Linked DNA regions of Xenopus tropicalis. The protein of the gene in region 1 interacts with the protein of each later gene in a pairwise test. Links are inferred from orthologs where the notes say so. Each region holds a gene or a part of one and is shown in the gene's direction. Other genes may lie near its edges.

Region 1 (4,192 bases):
CAGCTGCTATCTTAAACAAAAGGCTTTTTACTCAGGTAGGTAAAGCTTTCTGCAGAATAATTTGGCGACTCTATTGGCAGTAAAATGCCAAAATGACTTTCCTTCTACTTTTAAGTTCTTTAAACGTCGTTTTGCTGCCCCTGGTAAACTTGAGGGCTGCTGCTGCCTGAGACGAGTTTCTCAATTCGCCTTATGGCCGCAGTGCCCCTGTATAATAAAATATGTTTTATGGTTGGACAGCTTTAGTCCACAATAACTATAATGACTATTATGTAGCTTGGCACCCCAAAAGCGACTATACATTTATAAAAGATTTCTAATAAGTACCATTTGTGAAAATAATTATAATATGGAGAATTGTTCATCTAATGAAAATACTAGCATAGATTAGGGGGCACATTTACTAACCCACGAACGGGCCGAATGCGTCCGATTGCGTTTTTTTCGTAATAATCGGTAATTTTGCGTTTTCTTTGCGATTTTTTCGGCGTCTTTACGATTTTTGCGTAAAAACGCTAGTTTTTCGTAGCCATTACGAAAGTTGCGCAAAGTCGCGATTTTTTTCGTAGCGTTAAAACTTGCGCGAAACGTCGCGCCTTTTAAGTTTTAACGCTACGAAAAAGGTGCGACTTTGCGCGCAAGTGTTAACGCTACGAAAAAATCGCGACTTTGCGCAACTTTCGTAATGGCTACGAAAAACTCGCGTTTTTCCGCAAAAATCGTAAAGACGCCGAAAAAATCGCAAAAAATACGAAAAAATCGCAAAAAATACGAAAAAAACACAAAATTACCAAAAAAGTCGCAAAATGTTCGTTTCCAATCGGAATTTTTCCAATTCGGATTCGAAATCGTGTCTTAGTAAATCAGCCCCTAGGTGTATACACAAACTTTATAAATATTGTGATGTCAACAGCTTGTGCACTGCTTCTTTTTCTTTTTTTGATGAACATCTTAATATCTACATTAATTTCAGGTAGCTAAAATATGAAAGTGTGTATCAGTGGCTTTTCGAGACAAGGCTCTGATGGCAGCAGGTACTGTTGGCAACAAGGACAAAGTCTTTCTTTCGTTCCCTGTCACAATTCAGAACTCCGACTAGAAAATATGAATGACTTCTGAGGAAACATCGGGGGCAGAGGCGGCAGCGAGCATGGCGGTCACCCAACACCAAAGAAAAGTCTTTTTTCTTTTGTTCTCTATCAAAAGTAGGAGGTGCGAGCATTGGAAAAAGAGATTGGGAGCTGACCAACCGCGGCTGCCTAGCAGCTTCCCACCGTGTAACACTGAGCCAGGCCGGCTCGTCACTCCCACAAGGCGGCGCGCCAATGTGTCAGTGCGTTACGTGTAGCGGCGATGCCAGTCTCGCGTGAGGAGAGATGTGGCGCTGGGAGTGTGTGTAGGACCGGAGCCTGCAGTAACAAGCTCTTCGGGAGATGTAAGTAGCGATACGGGACTAAGGGCTGTGTGAGGAACAGCGGGACTGTTGCAGTATGCACTTACTTCCAGACTTGGGGAGGCAGGGCGGGAGCTGGGGTACCAGCATGTTCTTTCCCATACATAGGTTTCTGTACCAGTGGTTTTGTGACAGAAGCTTTAGTCCCGGTAGAGCTGGATTGGTTAAGCTGGGGGTGAAGTTCAAACTCCCTCCTACCCTATTCAGTTCCCGGGACTAAAACTTCTGTGACAGAACAAGCAGAATACAAGCTGTGTAGGAGAAAGAACATGCTGGCACCCCGCTCCCGCCCTCCCTTCACAAGTGTGCAGCTCATTGACATGAACGGGCTCGGTAATCCTGCAGCGCTGCCGGTTCCCTTTAGGACCCAGAAGTCACCCACCCATTCGCCACCGATGCTGGCCCTTCCTTTGAGGGTCCCCAGGCAGCTGCTTCGCGCACTGAGCTGCTGTTACATGCGAATGATTGTATTCAGTGTGCGGGTCTGTAGCGCTGCATATTGTCTGTGTGAATACATTAGTGCGTGGGGGAAGCCTTTGTGCTATTGCCTTTACTTTCTGGCGTGTAAGTTCTTGCAATAGGGACTCTTTTTTTCAGTGCAGTTGTAAATGAATTCGATCCTCGCACAATAAATGAGTTGAAGGCGGGGATGGGGCGCAGATTTAGCGCACATTGATATTAAAGCTGAGTGGTTGTGATAAGTGCAAAGCAGGGCCAACCTGCAGCCCCACAGTTGTTTCCTATCATGCACCACCTCCAGCATGTGGCAGCTAGGTGTATGTGGGCTGGCATGGGCTGCTGGGAATTAGAGTTCAAAGGCTAAAGAAGGTTGGACATAACTGAGGGCTGCTGAATTTGGGCATTTTAGGTTTTATTGGTGGGGTGAATACCCTTCTATTATCACATATTCTCAGTATTAACACATTTGCTGCTGGATTCCAAGCTGTCTCTGGATGCAATGTCAGCACTAGAACTATTCATCAGAAGTGTTTATTCTGTTGAGCAGCAGCACACAACACTATGGGATTTATTTATATTGCTGTGTACGAGTATGTGGAGTGAAACATTACCGGTGATGTTGCTCATAGCAGCCAATCAGGTGCTTTGGTTTTCTAACTGTTGAAATCTGCTTGCTGATTGGTTGCCTTGGGCAATATCACTACTTTTTACACAGCAAGATAAATATACCCCTATGTGTGATGCCATGTGTTGGCAGGAGTGGTGTAAAGATCTATGTCACTGGACTCCAAGGAGGTGGAAGATGCCTCTCTCAAGGCATGAATCATTCCTCGCATTTGCCCGTCTGACTTAGTCTAGTCTGGGTAAGGTAGATGCAAGTAGGACTACTACCTGCTTGAATGTGTAAGGGTGACAATAAAGCTGGAAATGAATAGGTGTCTGGGTCCACTTTTTAATGGTCTGGGATAGGGTTCTTGGTCTTATTAAAAGCAAAGCTTAAAGCTTCAGTGAACAATGGCATTCTTGATCATTTCTTTCTTTATACTTTGTGGCAACAGTTTAGGCAAGGTCATTTTATGTCTAGTATATTAATACCCATCTTGCACAAATTGGTTTGCTGAGATGCAAGCGAAAAAGATTGATCTCAATCCAACTGATCACCTCTGGGTACAGCCCCCTCCTTGGCTCCTAATAAGTTTACAAATATAAGTACACATGCACTTACTGAAATTCTAGGCATGCCCAATATAGTTGATAAGCATTTACTCTTAAGGGTATGGCCATGCAAGGTGAATTGTTAGCCTGCATATAAAATAAATGCCACCCCTGCCATCTTAGTTACATTACCCAGGTGTCCTGCTTTAGATTTAGACTGAGATGTATATGCAGTAGGGTAAAAATTTCCATTTGTACTCTGCTGAGGTAGAAATACCTGATACTGCAGCCAGTATATAGCATTCCTAACATATTGGCACCATTCAGTGAATCAGGGTTTCCTTATCCAAAATTGACTTTAAGGCTTGGCCCTCCCTTCTAGTACTTCTAGTACTTCCCTGTGAGGCCATACCCACAGTTTGGCAACTACTGTTGCAGGATGTGTATCCACATGCATCTGAAATATTAATGTGCATTGCATTAAACACATAGGGTGTATGTTTGTTTGTTTTTTTCAATATGATTATAAATGCACAATATTTTGTCCATGCTTGTAGTTATGTATGTGTGACAGTAGTATGTATAAGTGATCACTTTATACAACAACTAGGATATTGCCATGCATACATTGTAAAATGTAACTGCAGATGGAGAAAAGGAATGTGTTTCAGGTAGCAGGTAAGCTTTTTTTCTGTTTTTAGTCTCCTGATACAGAGATTCTTTTTCAGTATTCTGTGTTCCACAGTCTCTCCATGTTCACTGGCCATTTGTGGTGTGTTTAGATTCAGTGGGTGGCAGCAGATGTTGAAATATACATAGGCTATAAATGTGCTTTCACAGACTGCATTGCAAACTTTGGTTTACAGCTGATTGAAAACAGAGCAAGGAGCATTAAAAATACAGTGCAATGCAGGTGCTTACGCACAGTCTTGTGAGTATGATGCTGTAGAACAACATGTGTTTATTTTAAGATCACTTTTTATGCAGTTGTTCTATAGATTTTGAACTCAATTGGCATAGCAGATGGCCGATATATTATTATGGTACAGTAGCTTTAAGGGGCATGGATCTCTACACATAAAAAAAAAAAAAAAATACACTACAGGTATTAAACATTATAGGACT
Region 2 (2,168 bases), on another chromosome or scaffold:
AAAAATCTAGTTTGGTTTTTTTTTTCTTTCCTGAGAGCAAACAGAGAAACTGAAGCTACTCTATGTTTGTTTCTTGCAAGGAAGGCAATCAGATAACCAGTATACAACCCTCCTACCTTCCCTCTTCGTTGTGACTGTTTTGTTAGCAGGAGTCCATTATGCAGAAGGATTATCTGTGCACTGGAAATCAGTTATTTACCTTACAAAGACTAAACATAGAGTAGTACATAAAGTGTGTTCAGCAGAAGCACCTTTAATGATCTATAGCAGGGCTGTGTTGAACCGGGCCAACTCTGCTCCCAATTACTTGTGATCCAAACTCCCTCATGCGTTACACAGCCATGACAATAGCTATGCAAAGCCCAGGGAGATTTCTACTGATTACGACAAGGACCAAAGTACTTTATTAAGCTGTATGTAATAATAATATTAATAGTAAAGTGCATATTATAAAATTTAACTAGCACTAGTTGCGCCGCACCCCCCATCCCCGGTCCTTGGAAAAATTGTCTTGCTTGAAACCGGTCCGTGGTGCAAAAAAGGTTGGGAACCATTGATCTATAGCTTTTCTAACAACAACAGTTCTTTAAGATCAAAATGCCTGTTCCTGAGCAATGCTGCTGTCAGTCGGGCATCACTCAAGAGTGGTGGATGTCAGCATTACAAAGAGACTGCATTATAGGCAATACAATTCTCATTCAGGTAAAAGTACCTGCCTTGTGGAGATTAGTCTTTTTAGACTGTGTGTTATGAACACAATGACTTTACACAAGTATTTGTCCTACCAAACAATTTTATTTGAATAGTTATTATGCTATATTGTTTGCTTTACTACAATCAAAACCTATTAGTAACCACATTTTAAAACAAATATCCATGCAAAAAAGCATTTATACTTTCTAATTATTAAAACATATAGCTTTGTATCTTTTAATGCAATTACAACTGTGCTTCCAGCAGGATTATGTGTAGTTCCTGAAAAAAAGTGCTGAATTGGGGGATCGTGGCTGAATACATGTCATAAACTAATAGTCTGAATACAAATTTTTGTATGTTTAAAAAAAAGTGTTCCAAAGGCTGATTATTAGTTTTATATAGTTCTGATGTTTTTTTATGTACAAAGCATTGTCGTCTTTATTGTAGTTACTACCCGCTAATTGCGGTATTTGGCTTGTGTCTCTCCTTAGGCACAGCTGGCTCAGGCTTTGTACGACAATGCTGCTGAAAGCCCAGAGGAACTGAGTTTCCGCAGGGGCGATGTGATGCTAGTTCTGGAGCGAGATGCTCCATCCCTTGGTGGATGGTGGCGTTGTTCTTTGAGAGGGCAGCAAGGCATTGCTCCTGGAAATCGTCTTCAGCTTCTCCCTGAGACATCACAACAGGAAAGCGAGTATCAGGCTCCCCGTTTTCTGGGGGTCACAGCAGAGGCTGGAAGACTACATATAAATGAAAAAGGAGCACAAGAAAATAGGGAGGAGCCTCAAAATCATGAGACAGGGCCCCAGCATCAAACTGGAACTGAGGTGAGGTATATGGATTGGATGCCATCAGGAATTAGGAAACTTGACAGAGAATGTAATAATATAATATTCCCCATTCTTCTTTTTAGGTATACCAAGTCCCTTCTATTGCCCGTCTTTGTCTCTCTGCCCAACCCACAGAAGCTCAGGATGACATTTATAACTCACCACGTCTGGTTGGGCCATGTATACAACAGCCATTGGAGGTGAGACCATCAGAACATTCCATTTATTGCACACACCCACATTTAATGGTATCCTAACAACATGTTTAGACTGTACACAGAGCTCCATTATTTCCACAACTTAGCAAATATAATATTATCTTGTTATCATAAAGTCACCTTACGCCAAGTGCTTTTGCACTACATTTATCCACACACTGCTGCCACTCATATTCAATCATCTTATTGCATGTTATGGATTCGTTACAAGCACAATTCTCAATATGATTGTAGCATCAAGTTTCACTTTTCAATAAGTGTTTTTTAATTGCAGGTTTATGATACTCCTGCTGCACTAAGAAGAGAGCCAATTTCAGCATTAGACATTTATGATAGTCCTGCGTTGAGAGTGAAGTCTACAGATTCAGCTGCTGTGGTGCCTGAGGAGATTCCAGAAGATATCTATGATGTTCCTCCTACATTC
Region 3 (4,007 bases), on another chromosome or scaffold:
GGTGGCCATACACGAGGCGATTTCGCTCGTTGTGCGATGAACGATTATATCGACAAACGATCGTATGGCGATCGAGTTCCCATACGATATGCCATCCACGGGCAACGATAATTCGGGAAAGATTTTGTCGCATCATTATCGTAAAATACCTACGATCGTACATCTACGTACGATCGATGTCGTTGCTGGCAATCGTGACATGCGCAGAGAACAATCGTTGAAAGACAAATGTCTGACACTCACACCAACTGGCAGATTTTATCGTTAAACGACCAAAATTTTTAAACCTGGCCGATCGATTTTGGGGACGATAATGTCGGCTCGTTTAGTGGGCCGACGATCGTTCGTACACCACCAACTATACGATAACTTAACGATAGCATCGGATCGTTCGCGAATCGGTCGTTTGTAAGTAAAAAATCGGTCCGTGTATGGCCACCTTAAGCCGCTCTTTACTTTGCAAGTTTGAATGATGTACAAATTAGAGGGTTGTGGGGGACAAGTGGGGGGACACCCACATGCCTCCCACCCCTCACCAATACAGTGCTGATTAACACAGTCACTAGTGGCGTAACTACCAGGGGAGCAATTTGCAAAGACCCCTTACTTCTATTTTATTAAATAAATGGATGTGGCCTCTTTGCTAAAATTCAGACGAGGGAATCCTGCTGGATTTGATCACATTTTCAAGATGTGGTGTCTATTCTGCAGGATATGTTATGCACCTCGGAGCTGTCTAACACCATTCTACTGTGTGGGGTATTAGAGCTAGGAAGTAGCACTGAGCTCTAACACCCCTCTAAACCTTTATTCTCAGATGCAACTCACAGACATGGATTATGCCTTTTTGTTACCTCAATAACTATATTATTTCGTACACAATTCCCAATAAATTGCATTTTTTCAATATAATCTGAATTGTAATTTCATGCCTAGTATTTAGGAATACAGTTCCAAAGTTAACAAACAATTAATAGAGAATTGTGTGCCATTAAATAAAGTATGCGCCATAAATTCCCTATTAATAGTGCTGTAAGGGAAGGAGTATGATTAATAATTGTTTTGTTTATTTTTTTTAATGTAGCTACAGCTTAACACCATAAACGAGTCTCATTTGAGGAAGTGGTACAGGAAGTCAGTTGCCTTTTTCTGAGAAGCGAACGTTCACACCAAGGGGAAGTTGCATTTTCAAAAGATGATTCAGTGTAACTGAATGGCAAAAGCTGCATTGTGTATTGTGTCTGTATTGTTTAACTAAAGCAGGCACTGACTACAAATTTCACAGGAATAGACAACATCTTTAAACTTCTTGGCTTGGCCAAAGGGATACTGTGAAGGCAACTGACTAATATGAAACAACCTGTTCTGTAAAAAAAAAGAAAGAAGAGAAAAAACATGGATTTCCGAAGCATCCCTTCATGTTCCGAAGTCAGCTGTTGGAGCCCTGAAGCTCTCATTGAATATTTTAGAGCTGTAAGTACTGTTATATAAAACTATATATATACTGTATGTATTCTGCTGTTATACATTTTACACACACACACACAGCTCATAAGAGCTAAGAACTTTCTGCAGTAGCGGTATCAAGTGGTTCCTATAGAAGTCAACAGGAGGTGGTGAGACTCTGTTTAATGCCAGTAACAACACAGTATTTAGAACCTGTTTTTAGAACCTTAGAATGCAAGCAGGAATGTTTAATGATACGCATTTTGTAGCTGTTATTATCTAAGAAAAGAAAAAGTATATATTTTTTAGTATATTTCTACCACTTGCATTCTAAGATTTGTACATAAAATAAACATATTTATTTTCAGTAATAAATACTTTTTTCAGTAGTTTCCTTTTCAGAACTAAGTTGTGTTTTCAGTTTCCAACTCTCCTAAATATTGTGAGACCTTGATAGAAGGGACCCATTTATTTTGTTCTTGGCTTCTAGCCTCTTATTGACAGAATTGTTTATTGGACTTTTTGTCTCTGCCTAGCTATAGTCCTTCTTACCCCATATGCAATTTGTCTGCTGAAATACAGACACAGCTCATTTTATCTAGATGTTTCACACATTGTGGCATGAACCATATTGTACCATTTGTGCCATATAAGCTCTGTGATGCCACAATGTTTGCTCCATCTGAATGAGCCAGTTTAACCCTTGCCATGTGTTAGCATTCAGGCTAGACTTGTGCCATGCAAAATAAAAGTAATGCTGCACCTCTCTGAGCTCAAATTTGGAACTTTTTGGAATACTGTAGCCTTTTTACTGCTGCTCACTAATGTTTTGTGTCCCCTATGTCCTTTACTGGCTGTACTTCCACCTTTTATTTCCCTGCTGTTTCTTACCTTCGCTTATGTTTGACAAAATGCTTTAAAGGCCTTATAATGGTTTGGCAACAACGTCAAATGTTGAATGTGTCTCTGTTTTACATGAGAGAGGTTTTGCATGTAGTGAGCTATAAATTACCCCCGTTCCCTGTTATTTTTTACTTAATGTTTAAAACAGTTGGATTCTAAATGGGGGGCCTACAGCACAACTGAAGCCTGAATATCAGCTGGCAAAGTAGTTTCTTTATATAAACTCAGTTAGAACCCTGGAATGAAATGTGCAAATTGGCAAGTGAAGGGTGGCAGGTCACTATATTTAAATGCAGACACAACTCTTTTAAAATTGTGTTGTTACTGGGCTTTAAATTAATGTAGTCTCATGCACAAGTCATTAAAAAATGTTACATTATTTTAGAGGTATGGGATCCATTATCCAGAAACCCGTTATCCAAAAAACTCAGTATTATGGGAAGGCCCATTTTAAAACATATTTCCTTCTTTCTGTAATAATAAAACAGTACCTTGTACTTCATCCCAGCTAAGAAATAATTACGCCTTATAGGAGGCAAAACAATCCTATTGAGTTTATTTAATGTTTAAATGTTTTTTTTAATAGACTTAAGGTATGGAATTCCAAATTACGGAAAGATCCCTTATCTAATAACCCCCAGGTGACATTCATTCTGGATAACAGGTCCCATTTCTACTTGTTTTGCTAGCAGCCTATGGAATAACATATTCAGTAACACATTGCCATTAACAGCAATGAAATAGATATCTTGTAGCTTGGCAGTGTTGTCCACTACATATTCAACACCTGTGGTCAGTGGTTAATGTGGTTCCATAGTGGGTATCTTAATGCACACACATACCCACACGCAAACAACATTTGCATTGACTATATAGACCAAAGAATAATACTAATGTAGCATCAATGCTAGTCTACAAGCAATATCTCAAATGCTATCAATGCTTTGTCAAATCATTTACTTTTTTCTCCTGTAGATCAGTAAATTATAAAATATTTTTTAGCAAACTTACTACTACAGTAAAAACTCAATTTTACATACCCTGATTTAAAGTTTTTCCTTATTTATACCCTTTTTTTGTGGTTCGACCATTATATAGTGCATAAAGCATTTTCCTGATTTTATACTATTTTTTTGGTCCCCTGAAAAATGTAAAATGGGGGTTCTGCTGTATATATAAAAGTCTCTCTATGCATCCATCATTTACTCCTTAATATTAATGTGTCATGTATAAACAGGAGAGATTTAAGGATTTTTTGTGAATGAGATAATTATATTTAAATCTATGCTTTCCTAATTTGCTTTGGTATTATTACCTCAACACCATAAAATCTATATGAAGTCAGCAGAAAGCCATTTTATAGAATACAGTATATCATATGAATACCCATACATTGTTATAAACCGTTATTTGTGTCATTATCAGGTATAATCAGTTCTTAAGTTCTTAATGAGTTGGTTACTCTATGTCTATGTAATGAAAATGTAATTAATTTGTGTGTGTGTTTTTTTTTTAAATGCCTTTATGTTTGTTTCCTTTTAAAAGCACAACCTTCGTGATTGTGAAAAGTTGGTCAAAAAGCAAGGCATTACCGGAAAGAGATTTTTGGTAAGAATTTGATTCCATGGTTAATGCACTGGTCTTTTTAAGGCAGTACA
Region 4 (3,500 bases), on another chromosome or scaffold:
TAATTAATGGTCAACTTTCCCTATATAACCATCATCTGCTCTGCAGAACCTGAGAGTATTCAATGCTGCTAAAAATACATGTTATAATTATATAAATAGAGATATAAAGTATATAATTTATTTGATGTACTTTCAGATTCTGGGTTTGATTCCGTCACAGATTCAGAAGATGATAAGGCTAAAAGAAGCCATGCACTTCAAGCTGAAAAGCTCCAACCAACTTCATTCCAGGAAAGCCACAGAAATCTGGTATCTGTACAACCAGAGAGGATCCGCTGTGGGGTTTGTAACTTTATTCCAAATATTAGATTGATCAAAGCCAAATGATGATGTTTACTTTGGGATATAAGGCTGTGCTATTTTGCACCTAGTACTAAATTAACCCTATAACTCTAGAAGGTCTGCACTGTTCACATATTCATTAGGCATCTAGGGGGTTTTAGTGTCTTTCAGTATTGTATATTCAAAGTAGAAAGTGTGATCCTCTTTAGCTCTCCTGATGTAACCTTACTACATACAGTAGATTAGGGGTCCCCAACTTTTTTTTACTCATGAATCACATTCAAATGTAAAAAGAGTTGGGGAGCAACACAAGCATCCAAAAGTCTACTGGGGGAGTGCCAGATATGGGTTGTAATAAGTTATTGGTAGACCCTATGTGGACTGGCAGCCTACAGGAGTCTTTATGTGGAAGTATACATAGTTTTGATGCAACTAAAGCTTGCCTTTAAGCCAGGAATTAAAAAATAATCACCTGCTTTAAGGCCACTGGTAGTAACATCCAATGGGTTGGTGAGCAGCATGTTGCTCCTGAGCCTCTGGTTGGGGATCACTGACATAGAAAGTATGTTAGCTGATGAGTCTTTTAGGACTATGGTTTAACAGACAGAATCCTCTTTTTTTGTGATTGAAAACTATAGGTTGTCCAATTGGAAGTTTCTGGCATATCCAGTGTAGTTAGTGGTTCGTGTAAATTAGGCACTCAACTAAGATGTTTCTTGCGCCAATGCAGTGCCTACTACTTTTTATTGCTATAATTCCATTCTGTTAATGTCGAATTTGGTAGATTCTGAGTCAGGCAGCCTTTTGTATATGAGGCAATATTTAAAGAAAATATATAAAATTCCACTTATAGTCAGGGGTCTACTTCTACATGGTGTGCGGTAATTAAATCACAACTGTTAATTATGATGTTTAACAAGTGTAGATGTTAAATCTAGGATTTCCTACCATGAACCCTGAGTCTATATGATAGCCAAAGTATTTGGGCCATATTCTTCCCCTCATGACCACAATAGGTTGTAGATTAAGAAAAATGATTGCTGGGAGCCCCCAAAAACATTATGGGCAGAGATAACCGAGTGGTGAGTTTGTACCACAGTCACAGAGGAGTAATTGCAAGTGGTTCATTACATCCACCTAATTAGCCATATAGGTTTTCAGCAGGATATAAATGTAAAGTTATTTTACTAACTTGCAGTGGTGCAGTTTCTTATAGCAACCAGATGAGCTCTGTGCTTTCTTTTCAGTTTTCAAAACTATTTTCTGATTGGTTGGAGTAACATACATAATTAGTCCCATAGTTTTCATGGTTTGGACAGGGTTTGCTCCCTCATATACTTTTTGGTGTGGATACATTTTCTCATGTACAATTGACCCATAGAAAACACAGGCATAGGTATTCTATTTCAGAAACTGTAGGTAATTATGTTCCTTTTACTTCAAACCAAAGAAAGGTATTCCTTTGTAGTCCCAGCATGCTACAATTACACTATACAAACCTCAGAAACAGTGCAATACAGAAATACAGAAAGCTATCATTGCTTCTAAATTCAATGGCAATTTTGTTTCTTCCTTTGTCTTTTACAGATGAAAACGCAAATTTATTTAATTTTTAAATGTAAACTTGATTGCTGTGTTAAAAATGAAGTTTATTTTAATCCTCAAAATGGACAATCCATTCGACTACATGCAACTTTACAAAATGAATATATTCTAACTGTGGAAGCCCCTGGTAAGCAATTTTAAAATGTTAAATTCTGTTTAATGGGTGTATCAAGGGGTGGTTTTGGCTTTCCCAAATCAACAGGTTGGCATAATATAATATTTCTTTCTGACATAATACCCGAAGAATTAATGAAATGCTGCTATTTCACTATTTAGTTTACAGTTGGGACCGATAATTTACAGCATGGCAGGCAATTTTTAGGGAATTAAATAGTCTTTATCAAACTGGAAACTTTTGCTGTAAGTTGCTATATACCAGACCTTTATATTGGCCTCTGTGGTGCTGTTTGGGCCTTTGTGAAATTCACCCCCCCATCAGAATGTGTGATCTATGCTACCGCCCCTAGAGCTGCAGCAGGAAGCTACAGGAGACCAAGCTGTCTTAAACAAATGGAGGGAGCTTCTAGGGCTCTTTACTCAGGTTTGGTAAAGCTTTCTGCAGAATAAATATAGCATTCTAACTTGCATTAATGTGGCAAATCTATTGGCAGTAAAATGCCAAAATGACTTTCCTTCTATTTAAGGGCAATGACACGTGGCGATTAATCTACCGTAAGCAACTAATCTTCTGAAAAGCTTTCCCACTGACAATAATATAAATCGCTGGTGGGAAAACATATTGTTGTGAGGTAGCCTGCAGTTGCCTCTTGAGGACGCTTCAGGCTACTTCAGGAGGTAGCCGCATCGCGTATGCTTCCCCACCAGCGGTTTGCATTTTAGCTAGTAGGAAGGAAACATCCGTGGTAGCCAAAATTTATCACAGGTGACAAATGTACCATGTGCCATTGCTCTTGATCTCTGGCCATACATTCTGGGCAGCAAATTTAATGTACTATGGTGTGGGTTGAGTTGTGGTCTGACAATAGCCATGGTATGTTTCCCTCACCTATGCTGCTCTTCTCTTCTAAACAGATTTACCGGCTGGACTAGTATTTCTAAATGTTTTCTCTGGAGATTTACAAATATGTGAGGCGAAAATAAGTTATTACACTGACATGGAGGAGTTAAGTTACTTGCTAGGAAATGCCACAAGTCCAGTTGAATTCATGTGTCAGGTGAGTAATTTGATGCGTTAGTTATTTTATATAAAAGTACTTTTCAGCTATTAATATTGCTCCATAGATATCTGGCTGTTTAGTAGTGTAAAAAGGCAAATAGAAATGTATTCTCTTTCTGAAGCATTTTAATTTTTGTACTTCCTGGAGTGGAATGTTAATCATAGATTAACATTCAGTTACCTGCAAAACAGATTAGCACGATACTGAATGACCTTTATATAGTATTTAAAAAGATTAAGGGGGTAATGTCATAAACAGTCTTAAAGAAATGCTGTCATAAGAAAACATGTTTTTTTTTTAAAACGCATCAGTTAATAGAGCTTCTCCAGCAGAATCCTGCGTTGAAATCTGGGGTTTTTCAGATAATCCGTAAATCGGATCCCCTACCTTAAGTCTACTAAAAAAATTATTTAAACAGTAATTAAATCCAACAGG
Region 5 (3,500 bases), on another chromosome or scaffold:
AGTAGAAATTAGTGCTTTATAGTGCCCCATAATAATGCTACAGTTTGTGCTTTAAGATAACCAAATCAAACTGCACACTAAATTCTATAACCATAAGTCCATTTGTGGGATTCCAAAATATGTTTTGGTTCTCTTGTAAAATCAGTTAACCAAAGCAGATAACTGGGTTGCCTTATGACCCAGTTTAGTTTTGTCTTTTGTCAAAATAGCCCATTTATATACAAAACGTTTTAAAAGTAGCAGTGTTAGTTAACACTGCTACAAGGCTATTTATCTCTTGTTCTTTGGGGTACTGGTTAATTGCTGTAAATGGATATTTCTAATTGTTGCAAGTTATTTGGGGCTTTTAGGCTAAACAAAACTAGTGAGTTCTCATATCTAGATATCAAGTTATCTAGGTCCAAAGTTAATAGTTCTTAAATCCAAATGAACATTCTGTAATTTCATTGTTGTCTGTGTACATTGTCATATTTTATAGGCTTGCCAGAATAACCAGAAAAGTTGCTCTTTTTGTCAATTAGGAGTTGAAAGCAGTTTGCCCTTTTCCATAAATATGGCAAACATCTAATTGATTTTTGTTTGTTCGACCAGGCACAGTTTTGCCATTTTACTACATAACCCCCATCTGTAAGTAAAAAAATTATAGCCTCCTGCTCATATTTGTTGCAGGCTCATTGGAGGTACCCAGAAGAAGTGCAACAGTTTGATTTTGTGCAGTCAGTCATTAGAACTGTGCGCAGTCTGCGAAGCGACTATCACATGACTAAGGCACGACCAGAGGGTGAGTACAGATTGGCATTTGACTGCATACAAGCAAGTACTATTCAGTAGTAGTGTAGCAAAAGGCTGATGGAGGAGGCCAGGGGTTGGGAGGAAGGGTTTAATTATTTTTAAATGTAAAAAAATAGTGTACTTTTTTGATGTTACTGGTCCTTTAACTGATGCATGTTGGGAGGCAGGACACATGGACATACAATAATGGGAGTGATTTTACAAACATGAAATGTTAAAGGAAAATATACTGCTGAATACCTCTTCAAATTTTGAACTGGCAGACATATGTCTGTGTGATACGACGTATTGTATTGTAGCCCCAGGCCCCAGCTCTGCTCTCACCTGTAAGCAATGTGAGAGGAGCCTAAGGGGAACTACAAGACAACTGATGTGTTTTTGCCTCTTAAAATGCTACTGCCACAGACTCTATTTGCTGCAAAAACAAGAGCCATGCTTCTACACAAATGCAACACAGTTTTTTGTACTTAAAACCAAGCTTTATTTACCTTTCTGTTTTCTTATTAGTTCATATTTTCTGCTCCATGGAAGAACATCTCAATGCTCTTCAGTCATTTCACTCACATTTGCCGACTCTGTCTCACTCTGGACCCATCCAAGTCCATATGTTGCAAGATGCTTCTCAGTTCAGGGAGGACCCTGTTGGCTGGGCTACAGAAAAAGTGTCTGAGGGCTGTTACCTTCGTGTTAAACTCCAGGTACTATCTATGTACCATATAAGTGGTTGTGTTATTAAAGCAGTGTCAAGTGCAGTTTAAGTGATCTTTAGTCTCTTAGATGTCCAGTTCTTCCACCTAAGGCTGCCATCAGAAATTGTGTGCCCCATACTACTACGTTATTTAGCTTAAGATTCAAAGTTAACAATTACTGCCCTAGATATTCTACAAAATAGCTGGTAGGGGTACCCAGAATAAATGATAGATCAAAGTATGGGGCTTTCATTAACCCAAAAAATATCTTAGTCATTTTTAAAGACAGCAGCTTGGTCTCTTTTATTTGTGTTCTCCTGCCATAGACTTTATTTGGTAAGACTCTGATCCTAAGATCTTTTGGCTAACTAGTTCTCTTTTCCACCATGCTGCAGTCTGAGAACTATAGCAGTCAAAATCACCTACAGTTCCTGAATTTGCTTACTATTTATTTAAATGGCAAAGCTCTGCTTCTTGGGAATTTCAGGTGTGGTCATAAACATGGATGCAAGCTTTCATATGTGATCCCTACCTGTGGTTGCTAGTGCTTTACATAGACAGAGCATATCTCTTTCCTTTAACAAAAATCTGCTCCTAGGTATTGTAGTTTATCTAAAAGAAGCTGGTAAGACTGAGCTGCTTTCAGTGATGTTTTGAGCCTTTAAAGTACAGGTATAGGACCTGTTATCCAGAATGCTCGGGACCAAGGGTATTCCGGATAAAGGGTCTTTCTGTAATTTAGATCTCCATAACTTAAGTCTACTAATAAAACACTAATTAAACCCAATAGGTTTATTTTGCATCCAATAAGGATTATTTATATCTTAGTTGGGATCAATTACAAGGTTCTGTTTTATTACAACAGCGAAAAGGGAAATCAGTTTTAAAATTCTGAATTATTTGATTAAAATGGAGTCTATGGGAGGCGGGCTTTCCTTTCTTCTGATTCAGAGCTCTCTGGATAACAGGTTTCCGGATAAGTGATCCCATACCTGTAGTACCCTTTTTAAGAACTTTAAGAACAAAATTGCTGTTATTCTTCTAACCATTCCTCACTTAGTAGAGTAACAACAAATATTTATTCTTTTTGGGTTTGGGTAAAATTCATAAAAGTAAATCTTAATAATTGGTGAGGAAAAAAAGGTTGTTGATTTTCTAGGTTGTTCAATCATTATGTATCTCACATTGCAAAGAAAAATCACCAAATATTGCAGTGGTAGAGAATATGAATTGTTGCATACGTTATTGCAATTTTGTTGTGTTGTATCCAACTAATGACATAAATGGTTCCTTTGCATGCATTTTCAGCTCCTCTCACTCTTTTTGTTTGCCCATCTCTCAGGGTTTACTAGACCCCCACACAGAGCTTGCAAAACTGCACAAAAAGCATCAGAATCTTCAGCTTCAGTTTATAAACATGTCAAAATATGAGAATGGCGATAATGAGGTTGGTTCCCTCTCTCCACGTGTAATGTTACTCTGACTTTTGTTTATTTTATTTATCCATCTCTATTGTCCTCCCTCTCTTCTGATGAGTACCTTTACTCTTTTCTGCCTTGTTGGTTCTCTATTTAACTTTTGTATTTTCTGTGGAATGCTATTACATGTTTATAGCATTATACAGATTATGGTTATCAGGCAAGTGTAACATAATATTATTTAATAAAGAATCAGGGGACTCACTGTGTCTAATATAAGGGAGATTAGGGTTACACAGCATACAGGCTGTGAGGAGATTATGGAGGAATACAGCCCATTTCTGTTTCTTTTTTAATGAACAGTGCGTGTCTGTACAGTCAGACTTAGAAGACAGACTAGCTCTGTTCCTAATAGTAGGAAGTATGTGTGCGCAGTGATGGGTCTCCCAACTGTGTATAAGTGTTCATGCGACCCTTTAACTATGTGTAATTTTTTTTATACCATACAGAATAGTAATTAAAACAATGTACTTGATAAGCTATAAGCCCCCTTGTCCCTGAAAATAGTTTTGCACTGGCGGTGCCAGGAATCCCTGTCCAA
Region 6 (3,500 bases), on another chromosome or scaffold:
TAGTTTATGTTGATTTCATGCTGCACAAGGTGTTTTGACCACTGCACAAGAAAACAACCACCACTAAAAATATGCTGTCTGCATTTATTTTATTCCTGTGAAAGGCATATATCTGCCTTTATCTACACTTCAACAGTGTGTCCTATATCTTTGTTGAATCTGATTGACAGTTTCATATAAACTACATTAATATATGAACTCAAGTGTTTGGGGCAAAATCTGCCTGCACACTTTAAAAAATTCCGTATTCTTTATAGAACATCATTATTTCTTATCTTGGAAAATGTGAGAAAAGTACAATTGTTAAATTTTATCTTGTGTGGTTTTTGACATTTCTGCATATACAGTAGCTGCATTTTTATGCATGATTTATTTCTATTCTATAAATGATTTTGCATAGAATGGTTTATTTCTGTAGGTGTAATGTGTCTCATCATTTTCCTTTCTTTGTGCAGTGGACAACTGATGAAGACTTGACAGATGCTGTTCATTCTTTGGGTGTTAATGATATTTTGGAAATAAAATTTTTTGAAAATCGGGCCAATGGCCAGTCAAAGGGGTAAGATTGGATGCTTTTCTGGATTTTCTGCTAATTGTTTTACTTAGGTTTAATGGTTTGGATGTTAAGTTTGACAAAGGTTCTGCCTTTAAGTAACAGCAGCCATATTACATTGTTAATAGCAGTGTCTTGAGTCAGGATAAGGTTTCAAGAAGGTTTATAGGGGGTGAGTAATACCAGAAGGGTTTTTTTTGGACACATTTTAATATACTTGTAAATAAATGCAAAGATCTAAATGTTCTTTTACCTGCGCTGGTAATTGCATTTAATGATAAGTTCTTAGACCGTCAAGGCAGGTTGTTTTATTCTCTGGCAGGCAGAGAGCATGGCACAGACAGGCAGCACAGGGCAGGCAGAGTATGGCACACAGTGAGTATAGGGCAGGCAGGGTAGGACAGGCAAAGTATGGCACACACAGGCAGTACTCTGCTTGCTCTATGTTCCCTGTATATGTGCTATAATTTGCCTGCCCTATGTTGCTTGTGTGTGCAATACACTGCCTGTGGGAGGTGAACCTGGCAGTGGTTTGTTCTGAGAGTTTGTAAGCATTTGGAAATAATCATTATATGGTCCCTAAGGTGTGTAATTATATGCTGGGGCATGTGGATATAAGAGCGTGTCTTAATTAGACATAATATAATTCTTTCAGATGAAGGGAAATATCCCTACAGTGAGCACCAACAAGTCTGGGTTTTTGCTGTGCTACCACCATTAATGTGGGTATGGTCTTAAAAGCTCTTGTGATTACATGGGTGTGGTGTAAAGTGGGTGCAGTTTAAAAAAAGGGTAGTGGTCAAAACTGGCTTCCATTATCAGCCCTCCACCATGTAGGCCAGAAAATTTTTGGTCCTCGGTACCACAGAAGTTGGACAGCACTGATATAGATACATGAAATCAATTTGCCGTGATGTTTCACTGTAGCTTTAATCCTTTGTTGGTGTGCAATATAATTGCTTGGGTATACAAATGTAATATCTCAGTTGCTTGGTATTTCACGTGCTAGATGTTTTACCCTGTTTTGCAAGCACATCTTCTGTGTTTTAAAACAGCAGGGTACATTGGTTGGAGATCATTTCCCTAAATTATCTTAACCCCTCTGCTGCTTTTGTTTACTTTGGCTTTCTCTTGTGGAATGTTAGTACAGGTATGAGACACAATATCCAGAATGCTTGGGACCTGGGGTTTTCCAAATAAGGGGTCTTTCCGTAGTTCGGTTCTCCTACCTAAAGTCCGCTAAAAACAATATTTAAACAGTAATTAAACCCAATAGCATTGTTTTGCCCCTAATAAGGATTCATTATATCTTAGTTGGAATCAAGTACAAGGTACTGTTTTATTATTACAGAGAAAGGAAATCATTTTTAAAAATGTGAACTATTTGATTAAAATGGGGTCTATGGGAGATGGGCTTTCAGTAATTCGGAACTTTCTGGATAATGGGTTTCCGGATAAGGGGTCCGATACCTGTAGTATGAAATTAAAGAACATGAATAAATTGGATATCTGTATATAAATATATTAAAAATACATCCTTTTTTGTTTTAAAGGTTTGCACTTATATGCGTTAGTTCTGAATCCTCATCAAAGAAGCTTATGGATCTTTTGCCAAAAAGAGAGATGCATGGCCAGAAGCCGATTGTTACACCTTGCAACAAGCAGTTCCTTAGTCAATTTGAAATGCAGTCAAGGAAAAGTAAGTATTATGTTAGTTTTTAAATGTATGATTATTTTTATATAGTGTGGCATATTCACAGCACTTTAAAGAAATTATACATCATTTACAGTCTGGAACTTTCCAGTCTTAAGTCTACATCATATTCATACGCACAGACCTGCCTATATGTTTTAGACCTGTGGGAGGAGACCTCCGTACCTGTAGGAAATCCACTCCAACACTGCATTATAGAAATATGATTTATGTTTTGCAGCGTAACATGAGAATTAAGTGTAGTATAATACTTAAGGTACAAACCCACAGGTGCCTGCTTTTTGATATGTGGTAGATTCTTAAGCTGGCCACACACGTGGCGATTTTCGATCTTTCGTGTGACCATCGTCCTCACGAAAGATCGTTCCAATCGGCCACTAACGTTCAGGGCTGAAACGGCAGATATGGAGGTAGAAACAATAGGATTTCTACCTCCTTCTGCCGATTCAGCTCTGAAGGCAGATTTTGCTCAGCCCGATCAAAATCTTTTAACCCACCCGATCGGCGAGTCGATCGATATCAGCAGCCTCCTGCTGTACGATATTATCAGTGCGTGTATGGCCAGCTTTATACATTTAACTGCACAGTGAGGCAATTGCTATTTTATTCCAATCTGCACTGTTTCTATGAGTGTACATCAATGCTGAGCACAGGAGAATTGAACACATTCAATTAATTTCTCTGTTCAGTGTTGATCTCCATTTATGTAGTGAAAACACTAGTGGAACACTGGAAAATCCAGTTTCTATTAAAAAAAAAATAAAAAATATATATATATACAGTGGTGTGAAAAACTATTTGCCCCCTTCCTGATTTCTTATTCTTTTGCATGTTTGTCACACTTAAATGTTTCTGCTCATCAAAAACCGTTAACTATTAGTCAAAGATAACATAATTGAACACAAAATGCAGTTTTTAAATGAAGGTTTACATTATTAAGGGAAAAAAAAAACTCCAAATCTACATGACCCTGTGTGAAAAAGTGATTGCCCCCCTTGTTAAAAAATAACTTAACTGTGGTTTATCACACCTGAGTTCAATTTCTGTAGTCACCCCCAGGCCTGATTACTGCCACACCTGTTTCAATCAAGAAATCACTTAAATAGGAGCTACCTGACACAGAGAAGTAGACCAAAAGCACCTCAAAAGCTAGACATCATGCCAAGATCCAAAGAAATTCAGGAACAAATGAGAACAAAAGTAATTGAGATCTATCAGTCTGGTAAAGGTTAT
Region 7 (2,755 bases), on another chromosome or scaffold:
AGCACTGTCTTTTTTTTTTTTTTAGTAGCCACAACAAGTAGCTGCTATTAGTAGTTCCATGTGTGTTCAACCTTAAGGCTGAAGACACACAGAGCTACTAGTAGCAGCTACTTGTAGCAGCTACTTGTCACAGCTACGGGAATAGACAATGCTGATCATTTGCTGATAATTGTCTCCGTGTGTTTTAGCAGAGGCAATTCTCACTATTGTCTGGCAGGGGATTTTCTGGCATTTAGTAGCCTTGAAAAAGTAGCTCTGTGTGTCTTCACCCTAAGTGTACATGCTTTGCATCTCACAGCAATAGTGCTTTTATGTTGTCCTTCCTTCCACCCCCAGGATCATACATCTTTGTTACTGTTAGTTGATAACATTGCTACAATATCATATGTGGCTTTGCTGAAAACAAAGGAATCATTCCTTTTTAATGGCGGGGTGGGTCATCAATTTCTAGCTATGGAAGCTGCCATGTTGCACTCCGTGCTGAGTATATGTATAGATAACAGACAGGTGATACAGTCTCTGATGGTTTGTTTCCAGGTTATGGCTTTGTGGAATTTCTGAGTGAGGAGGATGCCGACTACGCCATAAAGATTATGAACATGATAAAGCTCTATGGGAAACCCATTAGAGTAAATAAAGCCTCGGCGCACAACAAAAACCTGGATGTCGGCGCCAACATCTTCATTGGAAACTTGGACCCAGAGATTGATGAGAAGTTGCTTTATGACACCTTCAGCGCTTTTGGTGTAATCTTGCAGACCCCCAAGATCATGAGAGACCCAGACACCGGCAACTCCAAAGGTTATGCCTTCATCAACTTTGCCAGTTTTGATGCTTCGGACGCAGCCATTGAGGCCATGAACGGACAGTACCTGTGCAACAGGCCCATCACCGTCTCCTATGCTTTCAAGAAGGACTCCAAAGGAGAGCGGCATGGGTCGGCCGCAGAGAGACTGCTGGCTGCCCAAAACCCACTTTCACAGGCTGACCGGCCTCACCAGCTTTTCGCCGATGCCCCTCCACCTCCGTCTGTACCAGCTGTCATTACATCATTAACAAGTGCAGTTGCTGCAGGTGGGTATTTTTGCTTTTCAGCTGGCATTAAAGCAGGGACTGGTTGTGGGGCTGAAAGTGCCAGAAGTTGGGAGTTGTAGTTTTGTTACAACAGCAATGTTGAATGTTGACTTTTTTTTTTAATAAGATAGATGTCTGGCAAATCATCTGATCTCCCTGAAAGTTTGCAGGGGTTTTGGCCTTATGATCTTAAGTATGTACTGAATTAAGGGTTTTACTAAGTGAAGGATGTTATCTATCATGGAGAGTGTTAACCTTCTGGCTTTGTGTGCCTTAGTTAGACAGGCCAGCTTTGTTTTCTACAGGAATGAAACACAATGAATATTCTAGATATGTCTTGAAGGCAAAGCTAGCTAGGTAATCAATTCTGTCTGTCTGGGCACCAAATTGACATTTTATTCTCTATTGGTCTGGACTCAAATTTCCCAGAAATATTCTATGTAAGGAGCCATATAATAAAAATATAAGGGATAATGTACCTGTAAAAACATAAGGATATTAGAAGCCACTGGTTCTGTGACCATATAAAGGCACAAGGCTGCAGGCTGAGTTATACAGGGAACTCTGATTATCACTCATGTATTATAAGGGATAATGTACCCCCTACTGTAAATGATAAGGATATTAGCAGTCACTGAGGGGTTCTGTGACCATATAAAGGCACAAGGCTGCAGGCTGAGTTATACAGGGAACTCTGATTATCACTCATGTATTATAAGGGATAATGTACCCCCTACTGTAAATGATAAGGATATTAGCAGTCACTGAGGGGTTCTGTGCCCATATAAAGGCACAAGGCTGCAGGCTGAGTTATACAGGGAACTCTGAGTATCACTCATGTATTATAAGGGATAATGTACCCCCTACTGTAAATTATAAGGATATTAGAAGTCACTGAGGGGTTCTGTGACCATATAAAGACATGCTTTTCTGGGGCTGTTGATTGAATATTTGGGATTTTAAGTGCCGCGGTGCGAGCAATGTTGCATGGAAAGCAGTCAGTGTAGAAACAGAATGTTTGTTTCATTGTAAGAGTACAAATAAGCACCCTGCAAAGAAGCACTTGTTTATCTTCTGTCTGTTGCTTTCTGTGGTGACCCCAACAAAATATATGCACCAGGCATGCTATGAAGTGTCAGAAAACTGATAGACTTTTTCCAAGTTTTGGCATTGTAAATAGATAGTATAGGATTGCATTTACCAACAAAGCTGTTAATCATTGTGCCCTAACTTGATTCTCTTTTGCAGGCATGCCCACATTTCCTCCTGTCCCTCCACCTGGTGCAATGCCGCCGGGTATCCCACCCTCAATGCCGCCTCCTCCAATGTCTCCTGTCACAGGCGCCGGGCAAGCAGCTGCAGCTGCTCCTCAAGTCCCACTTCCTTTTCAGTCTGCAGCTATGCATCCAGGCAAGTTGCTTTTTCCAGTGATCATCTGAAACACAGGGTGTTTTGTGTAGTAGTTTAAGTGGCTGTCTGGCTGGGGGAATTGACTTTTACTTTACCTGTCAAAGAGGATTGGTTCTTCCTGTATTGTGTTTAGAACATGGGTTCGATTGATAGACATGATTTACAATAATTCTCTGCTTGCCAAGCTATAGGATGAAGAACATCTGAAAATCCCCTGCCATAGACAGTACTGAGAATTACCTCTGCTAAAACACAAAGAGACAACTATCTG

Evidence for each region.
Region 2: the proteins of nck2 (region 1) and efs interact in a two-hybrid assay, tested with the Homo sapiens proteins (2 studies listed by BioGRID and IntAct). The two-hybrid records come from large-scale screens. The link is inferred for Xenopus tropicalis from reciprocal best matches to the Homo sapiens genes NCK2 and EFS.
Region 3: the proteins of nck2 (region 1) and lcp2 interact in binary tests that used the Homo sapiens proteins (3 or more experiments, as listed by UniProt). The two-hybrid records come from large-scale screens. The link is inferred for Xenopus tropicalis from reciprocal best matches to the Homo sapiens genes NCK2 and LCP2.
Region 4: the proteins of nck2 (region 1) and pik3ap1 interact in binary tests that used the Homo sapiens proteins (3 or more experiments, as listed by UniProt). The two-hybrid records come from large-scale screens. The link is inferred for Xenopus tropicalis from reciprocal best matches to the Homo sapiens genes NCK2 and PIK3AP1.
Region 5: the proteins of nck2 (region 1) and vars2 interact in binary tests that used the Homo sapiens proteins (3 or more experiments, as listed by UniProt). The two-hybrid records come from large-scale screens. The link is inferred for Xenopus tropicalis from reciprocal best matches to the Homo sapiens genes NCK2 and VARS2.
Region 6: the proteins of nck2 (region 1) and cpsf6 interact in binary tests that used the Homo sapiens proteins (3 or more experiments, as listed by UniProt). The two-hybrid records come from large-scale screens. The link is inferred for Xenopus tropicalis from reciprocal best matches to the Homo sapiens genes NCK2 and CPSF6.
Region 7: the proteins of nck2 (region 1) and sf3b4 interact in binary tests that used the Homo sapiens proteins (3 or more experiments, as listed by UniProt). The two-hybrid records come from large-scale screens. The link is inferred for Xenopus tropicalis from reciprocal best matches to the Homo sapiens genes NCK2 and SF3B4.

Annotation. Positions count from the first base shown.
Region 1 is NC_030678.2:110,108,230-110,112,421, reverse strand, and holds the start of nck2 (cytoplasmic protein NCK2), read left to right. Parts: upstream 1-1,392; 5' UTR 1,393-1,435; intron 1,436-4,192. UniProt on the Homo sapiens protein: Adapter protein which associates with tyrosine-phosphorylated growth factor receptors or their cellular substrates. Maintains low levels of EIF2S1 phosphorylation by promoting its dephosphorylation by PP1.
Region 2 is NC_030677.2:139,732,673-139,734,840, reverse strand, and holds part of efs (embryonal Fyn-associated substrate), read left to right. Parts: intron 1-1,187; coding exon 1,188-1,523; intron 1,524-1,609; coding exon 1,610-1,726; intron 1,727-2,018; coding exon 2,019-2,168. UniProt on the Homo sapiens protein: Docking protein which plays a central coordinating role for tyrosine-kinase-based signaling related to cell adhesion. May serve as an activator of SRC and a downstream effector. Interacts with the SH3 domain of FYN and with CRK, SRC, and YES.
Region 3 is NC_030679.2:32,310,005-32,314,011, forward strand, and holds the start of lcp2 (lymphocyte cytosolic protein 2), read left to right. Parts: upstream 1-1,207; 5' UTR 1,208-1,395; coding exon 1,396-1,473; intron 1,474-3,894; coding exon 3,895-3,957; intron 3,958-4,007. UniProt on the Homo sapiens protein: Adapter protein primarily involved in signaling pathways within T-cells, as well as other immune cells such as platelets, mast cells, and natural killer (NK) cells.
Region 4 is NC_030683.2:39,660,191-39,663,690, forward strand, and holds part of pik3ap1 (phosphoinositide 3-kinase adapter protein 1), read left to right. Parts: intron 1-136; coding exon 137-282; intron 283-1,869; coding exon 1,870-2,014; intron 2,015-2,919; coding exon 2,920-3,062; intron 3,063-3,500. UniProt on the Homo sapiens protein: Signaling adapter that contributes to B-cell development by linking B-cell receptor (BCR) signaling to the phosphoinositide 3-kinase (PI3K)-Akt signaling pathway.
Region 5 is NC_030684.2:75,890,494-75,893,993, reverse strand, and holds part of vars2 (valine--tRNA ligase, mitochondrial), read left to right. Parts: intron 1-669; coding exon 670-781; intron 782-1,299; coding exon 1,300-1,490; intron 1,491-2,823; coding exon 2,824-2,928; intron 2,929-3,500. UniProt on the Homo sapiens protein: Catalyzes the attachment of valine to tRNA(Val) in a two-step reaction: valine is first activated by ATP to form Val-AMP and then transferred to the acceptor end of tRNA(Val).
Region 6 is NC_030679.2:58,918,288-58,921,787, reverse strand, and holds part of cpsf6 (cleavage and polyadenylation specificity factor subunit 6), read left to right. Parts: intron 1-455; coding exon 456-559; intron 560-2,106; coding exon 2,107-2,252; intron 2,253-3,500. UniProt on the Homo sapiens protein: Component of the cleavage factor Im (CFIm) complex that functions as an activator of the pre-mRNA 3'-end cleavage and polyadenylation processing required for the maturation of pre-mRNA into functional mRNAs.
Region 7 is NC_030684.2:128,884,673-128,887,427, reverse strand, and holds part of sf3b4 (splicing factor 3B subunit 4), read left to right. Parts: intron 1-537; coding exon 538-1,074; intron 1,075-2,322; coding exon 2,323-2,484; intron 2,485-2,755. UniProt on the Homo sapiens protein: Component of the 17S U2 SnRNP complex of the spliceosome, a large ribonucleoprotein complex that removes introns from transcribed pre-mRNAs.